Oryctolagus cuniculus: one gene and its partner. The protein of the gene in region 1 interacts with the protein of each later gene in a biochemical or structural test. Links are inferred from orthologs where the notes say so. Each region holds a gene or a part of one and is shown in the gene's direction. Other genes may lie near its edges.

The links.
Region 2: the proteins of BCL2L1 (region 1) and HRK interact in a biophysical measurement, tested with the Homo sapiens proteins (3 studies listed by BioGRID and IntAct, with this or other methods). The link is inferred for Oryctolagus cuniculus from reciprocal best matches to the Homo sapiens genes BCL2L1 and HRK.

The regions. Positions count from the first base shown.
Region 1 is NC_091442.1:25,993,553-25,997,429, forward strand, and holds the start of BCL2L1 (bcl-2-like protein 1), read left to right. Parts: upstream 1-845; coding exon 846-1,409; intron 1,410-3,877. UniProt on the Homo sapiens protein: Potent inhibitor of cell death. Inhibits activation of caspases. Appears to regulate cell death by blocking the voltage-dependent anion channel (VDAC) by binding to it and preventing the release of the caspase activator, CYC1, from the mitochondrial membrane.
Region 2 is NC_091452.1:13,255,502-13,259,403, reverse strand, and holds the start of HRK (activator of apoptosis harakiri), read left to right. Parts: upstream 1-1,497; 5' UTR 1,498-2,250; coding exon 2,251-2,526; 3' UTR 2,527-2,582; intron 2,583-3,902. UniProt on the Homo sapiens protein: Promotes apoptosis.

The DNA.
Region 1 (3,877 bases):
GCTGGTACTTAAATAGACCGGAGTGAAGGAGGAAAAAAAAAAAAAGAAAGAAAGAAAAACCTTAAGCCTACAGCAGCCACCTCCGGGAGAGTTCTCCTGGCTCCCAGTAGGAGGCGGAGAGCCAAGGGGCGTGCGAGAGCGAGGGGGCTGGGCTCCCGGGTGGCTAGAGGCCGCGGGCGCGGAGCGGAGCGGAGCGGCGGCCCTGGATCCCGGCAATGGAGGAGCAAGCCAGCAAGCGGGCTGGTTCCTGAGCGTCGCAATTCCTGTGTCGCCTTCTGGGCGCCCAGCCTGCCGGGTCGCATGATCCCTCCGGCCGGAGCTGTTTGTTTCGCCAGCCGCCGCGAAGCCGGCTGAGTTACCGGCATCCCGGCCTGCCGCCACCTCCTCTCCCGACCTATGATACAAAAGATCTTACGGGGGTGCACCTGCCTGCTGTCGCCGGCTTAGACGGAATTGAATGTAGGTGGTGCGGGGGCGGCGGGTGGTGGTGGGGGGACTGCCCATGGGGTGACTTTCCGAGGACAGCGTTTCGGAGAAAAAGGGGTGGCTGGGATAAAAGAGGCCAGTGGGATGATTCAGAGCCCAGTGGTGCTTACAATTTGACTTCATTGAAGTCTCGTGGAACCTAGACCCAGACCTTCATAGGAGCCACAAAGAAACGAGTTTTGGTACCTGGAAGGGGAAGGGGATGTTGCGGGGGGAAATGGCATTTATACTAATTTTTTTTCTTTCCCTAAAGCTCTTTTTCTCCCTTCAGAGCCTTATTTTGGCTTTGGATCACAGAAGAGAATCCCTGAGCAGGTGTTCTGGACAATGGACTGGTTGAGCCCATCCCTATTATAAAAATGTCTCAGAGCAACCGGGAGCTGGTGGTTGACTTTCTCTCCTACAAGCTTTCGCAGAAAGGATACAGCTGGAGTCAGTTTAGCGATGTGGAAGAGAACAGGACTGAGGCCCCGGAAGGGACTGGACCAGAGATGGAGACCCCCAGTGCCATCAATGGCAACCCAGCCTGGCACCCGGCGGACAGCCCCGCGGTGAACGGAGCCACTGGCCACAGCAGCAGTTTGGATGCCCGGGAGGTGATCCCCATGACAGCAGTGAAGCAGGCTCTGAGGGAGGCAGGCGACGAGTTTGAACTGCGGTACCGGCGGGCATTCAGCGACCTGACATCCCAGCTCCACATCACCCCAGGGACAGCATATCAGAGCTTTGAACAAGTAGTGAACGAACTCTTCCGGGATGGGGTGAACTGGGGCCGCATTGTGGCCTTTTTCTCCTTCGGCGGGGCACTGTGCGTGGAAAGCGTGGACAAGGAGATGGAGGTATTGGTGAGTCGGATCGCGGCGTGGATGGCCACTTACCTGAATGATCACCTGGAGCCCTGGATCCAGGAGAACGGCGGCTGGGTAAGAACCACACCCCTCATTTGTCCCTGTGCTTTGGCCTCTGTCAGAGGACCCCCAGCAGCCTTTCCCTGCAGCTTCTGCTAGTTAGATGACTGTTGGAGGCACTGGCCCCATTTCAGCACCAGACCTGGTTCTTTCCATCTGGGCACCCTCATGACCCTGATCTTCCATGCTTATTTTCCAGTTTCTCAGCACAGAATAGCTGAGGTGTTGATCTGTGAGTGGGGGGTTGGTCCAGTGCCCCCCTCACTCTGGAGCAGTGGCTCTCCATGCTTTGAAAGGGTGACAAGCAGAATGTCTGGAGCAGGTGGTGGCGTGCCGGGGACCCACAAGTCGCTGCGTCCTTTCTTCTCCAGGACTGGCCGTCCTGACCTGGGCTTCCTTCCCTTTATTTCAGAGTTTTCTTATGTGGCCAAGCAGGAGTTCCCCCCAGTGGCTTGGTGGGTTCGGAATTGTCCGATTCTAGGTCAGCGTGGGCTGTGCCACTCGTGTTGGTGCTGCACCTCCTGAGTTGGTGCTGCACACAGCTTGCAACTTTCTGCACGGTTGGCCTGTTTGTGGAGCTCTTGCTGTGTCACGCTTTAAGCCCCAGGACTTTGCACCTCACTCGCTGCCTGGGGTGGGGTGAGGAGCTCCAGCTGCTCTGCCTCTGACTGGCCGGCTGGCAAGGCAAGAAGTCAGTCTGTGGGGCTCTGTGGGCCATTGAGATTTGGTGTCAGACTTTGGACGTGAGTGGGAGCGCCAGCCCTCTCTCTTGGCCAGCTGTGTGACCTTGGACAGGCTCTTTACTTTCTTGAGCCTCAGTTTCCTGCACTGGGAAACGTGGCCAGCTCGCCTGGTCTCGCAGAGTCCTGGAAGCCTTGGAGGTGGCGTGAGCAGAGTGAGGGACGCCAGGGAGCTCCCAGTCCAGACAGGGAGGTGTCTCTCTCCGTCCCTGAGTCACGAGGAGGTGGTGGAGGGACCTTTTGCACCAGTGGTCACTGCAGGCGGGGTTGGTCCTGTTTCCTTGCTGGTCTCCCTGCCCAGGGGAGGTGCGGAACACAGGCATTCTGTTCCCTCAGAAAATGCAGAAAATCCACAGGCTGTGGGGAATAAGTCATCCATTGAGGGAGCAGAGGTGGAAGGGCCGCGCACCTGGACTCAGGAATGCCAGGAATGTGATTGTCGTGGGCTGGGCCGGGGCGTGGCCGGCACTCGGTTTTACCGTGGAGCCAAACCTCCTGAGTTTCTCCTGGAACCCCACCCCCTGGCTCGTTTCCCGTTTCTTTGCAACTTCAGCTCATCTCCTCAGCAGGCTCTTGAAAAAGGCTAGGGGGTCAAGTCAGTAGGCGACGGGGTGGGGGTGGGGGTGGGGGTGGGGGTGGGGGTGGTAGAGGCCGGAGGCTCCCTGGAGCTAAGGCTGATAGACTTGAAAAGCCATTCTGTAAATGAACTCCCTGGGGGATAAATGATTAAACAGTTCCTGTTGGGTTTTGTGTGATGACCTCTCCTGGTCCCTCCTGCTTTGATTCTCTTTGGGGGCAAATATTTGTTCAGCTGATTCCAGGATTCCAGTACTACAGACACACCCTCGGAGGCATCTCTGTGGAGGGACGTGGGCCAGTTGCCCACTTTGCCTTGACCACTGTCTCTGGCCAGTGGTCCTAATACCAGGTGAGTTGTGGCCAGCTATAAACAAAAGGCAGGTTGGGAGAGGTGCCTGGTCTGCCAGCCAGTCTGCAGAGGGCCGTCCCAATCAGAGAATTGCCAGCAACCCAGCGTTGCGGGTGAAAAAGGTCTAAAACCCAGCAGGCCTGGGCCCGTCCATTCGCCCGCCACTGGATGGAAATTCCACCTCCCATCGCCTCGTTGAAAAATGTCAGAGCCCGTTGGACAACATACCACACACACACACACAGTCACACTCACACTCACACACACACGTCGCTTCCTCTTAGTGAACACAGAGGACGTGTGTAGAAGAGCGAGTTGTGTCAGAACCATTCCTGGGAGTGTGTTCTTCCCCTGAGACCAGTGGGTGAAGAACATTTGAGTCAGAGCCCTCCGAGCGAGCCGGGAAAGGTGCCACCCTGCTCTGAGCAGCAGTGACTGGCTACTGCAGTAGCAGCTCAGCCTGGAGGCCTCAGCTGAGGGATCCCTGAGCGTAGGAGTTACGGGCCACTCTGCCTGCCGACGGATGTTGTCTAAATTTGGCATCGTCACAGGAAAGGGAAGGAAATTAGCCTTTACGGAGACCCTCCTATGTATTAGGCATTGTGTTAGGTTCTTAAGCAATGAGTTTGCTGAGCGTTTACGGAGGTGGGCAGGGCGCTAGGTGTTGGCCATAACCAGCCATAGGCCCTTCCCTTGTGGAATTGGCATGCTGTTTCCTGTCTTCCCATAGTGACCAAAATAGATGGTTTTATTCCCAGTTTCACATGAGGCTCCTAGTGACAAGTGACAGATCCTGGGTGTCCCTCAGCCAGTTG
Region 2 (3,902 bases), on another chromosome or scaffold:
TTTGTACTTTGCAGTTAATGAAATGGAAGCTCCACAATGCCACATCTCAAGGCCAAGTTCACCAGTGAGTGAGCAGTGGGGTGGGCTAGGAGAACTCTGGTGCGAGCAGATGAGGGGCGCTCAGATGCAGGGTGCTAGGAGAGGGAGGTCTTGCCTTGTCCCCACTTCTCCATCATCCTCTTCTCCTGCTGAATGCTGCATCCCCGTGGCCAAGCCTGCACTCTCTCTGCTGTAGAAAACATCCAAGCTGCTGGGACCCGACCCAGCGCCACCTTGGGAGCCCAGCATTTTGAGGGGGCAGGCATCCAAACAGGGTAATAATCGTCCCATTAAAATTAATGTCCATGAAGTGAGCCGTTAAAAGCGTGCAGATTAAAAAGGAGGGGGGGGGGATTGTTCGATTTAAATCCAAAGGGCTTTTTAAATAGACACTGTATCTTCATTCTTGGAACGCTACACCCGGGCAATGGATCAGGTCCCCCCTGCAAAGACTAGCGGGGATTAAGGAGGTGAGTCCCAGGAGAATGGGGGAGTGGATCTAGCCAAAAAGCAAAGAGAACCAAGGTTTATCCAAGGCCCGCCGCATGCCAGGTGCTTGGCATACATTTCTCTCATTTAATCTCTGCTCCAATCCTGGGAGGGAGGTATTATTATTCCTAGATTACAGGGGGCAGTATAAAACCATGGTTAACGGCTCAGAGCCTACTGCAGACCCAGACGCACGCTTCGCCTTTCACTAGGGAGCTGTGCCCTCAGGCCTTCCCCGTCGTGCCTCAGTTTCTTCACTAGGATAGTTGTGAAATTCACTTTGGGTAGCCCAGGCAAGAGCCCATCTGCAGGGCACCTGACCTAGAAGATGCTCAGTGAGTGTTGGCCATTGTCAAGGGCAGGAGAACCAGGGCTGGGTGGGAGCACAGGCCATCGAGAGCACATGGCCCAGCTGGGATCTGGCCTCTGTCATTTCTCCACAAGCCAAGGACAGGCTCCGCCTGACACATCCAGCCCAGAGCTAAGTTCCTGATCTTGAGGTAGCTCTTCCAAGGCACCAAAGGACTCCTCAGAGCTTGGCAAACCTCTGCTGGTGGGAAGGAGGGAAAGGAGAGCCTCCGGACAGCTTCCAGGTCACAGGCTCCGAGCCGCGGCGCCTCCAATGGCCTGAATCCCCGTGCTTTAAGACCGGAGAGGTCTCGTTCTCCAAAGACTCCTGAGAGTGACAATACCACATGTTGTAGTCTGCAGAACAGCGACCGCCCTAGGATAGGAAAGAGGAGGGCCAGAGTCATCCCCCCTCCCTCTCCCTTACCTTCGCCGGTCCCTTCGGGTCTCCACCGCGCACGTCTCTGCTAGCAACTTTAACCCCAGCAGGGGAAAAAAAAATTCACCAAGAAAGCAGACAAAAATCAAGTTCCCATGCAGAAAGCCCCCCTGTGAGGGTCTTCGGGGTTCGGGCGCTGTGCGCGCACCCGACCTTGGCCAGACCCCTCCAGTCCCCACCCTCGCCCTCCTCCAGGGTTCCAGCGGCGCTCCAGGCGCTCGGCAGGGTCTAGGCTGCGGGCGGAGCCGTGCGGGGGTGTGTGTTCACACCCAAAGGCGTACAGGTGCCAAGGCGGACCCGAAATGAAGCAGGCTGGGCTGCCTCTGGACCTTCCGCCAGACTTAGAATCCACCCACCTCCCCTAGAACCAAACAGCAGCCTGGGGGTTGTTTCTGAACGGTACTGCCCAGTTCTTCTATCCGCTTCATCCACAGCGGCCAACAAGCCTGCTGCCTCCGCCAAATCGGAACTGGAGCTGAAATCAGGATAAGGGGAAGGAGAAAACGTCTCCCTCGCGCTCCTCGTCTCCGCGGGGGTGCCCCCCCCCCGAGACCCCTCAAAGCCCAAGCTCTCCGCCGCGGGGCGCCTGCTCTCGTCCCAGCGTCGCGCGCCCCACCTCTCCCAAACCACGCGCCCCCTCGCCGCCGGCGATGCTAGGGTTAAAAGTTACCTCTCGGTTTCTTCTGCCTGCAGCCCCCCCCCCCCGGGGGCCGGATGATGTAACCCCCCTCTCCGCTCCCTCCCCGCCCCCATCCACCATGTGACACTTTAATTAATAATAGCTCCGTCAGCACAACAAACGCACTACACAAGGAGAAACTTGGTGTCCAGGGGAGGCCCCCGGCGGCTGGAGCGCATCGGCGGCGGGCGCAGAGGCCGGAGGGAGAGGAGGCGAGGGGCGGCCGGAGCGCGCGGAGGGAGCGAGGCGAGCGGTCATGTGCCCGTGCCCCCTGCACCGTGGCCGCGGCCCCCCGGCCGTGTGCGCCTGCAGCGCGGGCCGCCTGGGGCTGCGCTCGGCCGCCGCGCAGCTCACCGCCGCCCGGCTCAAGGCACTCGGCGACGAGCTGCACCAGCGCACCATGTGGCGGCGCCGCGCGCGGAGCCGGAGGGCGCCGGCGCCCGGCGCGCTCCCCACCTACTGGCCCTGGCTGTGCGCGGCCGCGCAGGTGGCGGCGCTGGCGGCCTGGCTGCTCGGCAGGCGGAACTTGTAGGAACGCGGGGCTTCTTGGTGGGGCCGGAGCCGAGACCCAGCCGGAGCGAGCAACAGGTACGCGAGCGAGTGAGCGAGAGCCAGAGCGCGGGAGAGGGGCAAGTTCGGGCTTCGTAGCGTCGCTTCCCCTTCTTCCTCTGCTCCCTTGCCTTGCAGGGATCTTGGTTCCCATATCTTTCCGAGCGGCAGGGCCACTTCTCTGTCCGCTTCCGTCCGTCGCCTTGAGCTCATCCTGCGGTTCCCTCCAGCGCAGTGGATCTGGCGCACTTGAGCCTCCGCAGCCCCCACCAGCCCCACAAGTAGACACTCGACTTAGGTACCAAGTGCCCCTGCTTTGAGAACGGAGTCACCACCCAGCCAGAGAATCACCCATCGCAGTTTCAAGGCAAATCCCTGGCCTCTGCCAAGCCGCTTGTCCTCCCCGCCGCCTCTGCTCCCGACCCCCTTCCCCGTAAGACCCACGTCCCCAGTTTCGGATCCCCACTGTCGCGCGCCCTGAGAGCGCACCGCGCCACTTCCTCCGCCTCCAGGATTCTGGCTGTTCGCTTTGATCTCCTCCAGGCCCGCGCACTTTGCAGTTTTGCTCCGCGCTGCCAACTTCGGGCCTCTCCAGCAAGCTGTCCGGAGTGAGGAGCTGGTTGGCCTCTTAGTCCCCACACGGCGTAGCTGCAATGAGATGTCCCAGCCGAGGGCTGATATTGGAGATTTAGGGAACCTCCAAGGGGAAGCCTGAATCAGGAGCATTCATTGAGCTCCTCTCGGGATGCCGGGCTTTGTTTAGGGAGGGGGCGTTTTGAGAGCTTGCTGTCTGCTGGGCGCTGCGCGGGGGTGGAGATGGGAAGTGAGTATCGAGTGCCTAATTTGTTTGGCATCGGTGGGAGAAAGGTACGAGTCCTTAGGCGGAGAAGTTCATGAGCCCTGGCTGTGTGCTTGGCGCTTTGGGAGAGCGCAATTGTGAGGATCCTCTCTCCAGGTTCTGGAGTAGTGAAGCGACAGAGAATGAGGGTGGAGAGGTTCGGGCAGACCCCACCGTAGGTGGAAGGCGAGCACCAGAGGTGGGGATGGCAGAGGCCCTGGGATGCCTGGGCCCGCCACGCCGCGCGCTCGCGAGTCCCGGCCGAGCCTGGCGGGGCGCACACACCTTAGCGAGCTGGCACAGCGCCCGCGGGCGAGGCCCGAGCGTCTGCGCCCGCGGGGAGAGGCGGCAGCCGGAGCGTGGGGGGTGGCAGCGCCGGGGGAGCTGCGGGGGTGCGCGGGGTGTGAGCCGGGAGCGCGGGCGACAGATGTCGCGTGGGCCCGCGAAGCCCGGGCGCTGGTGAAGACAAGTGCGCGCTTTAGGGCGCGCTCCGCCCTGCTCCCGGAGGTCCCATCCTCTTC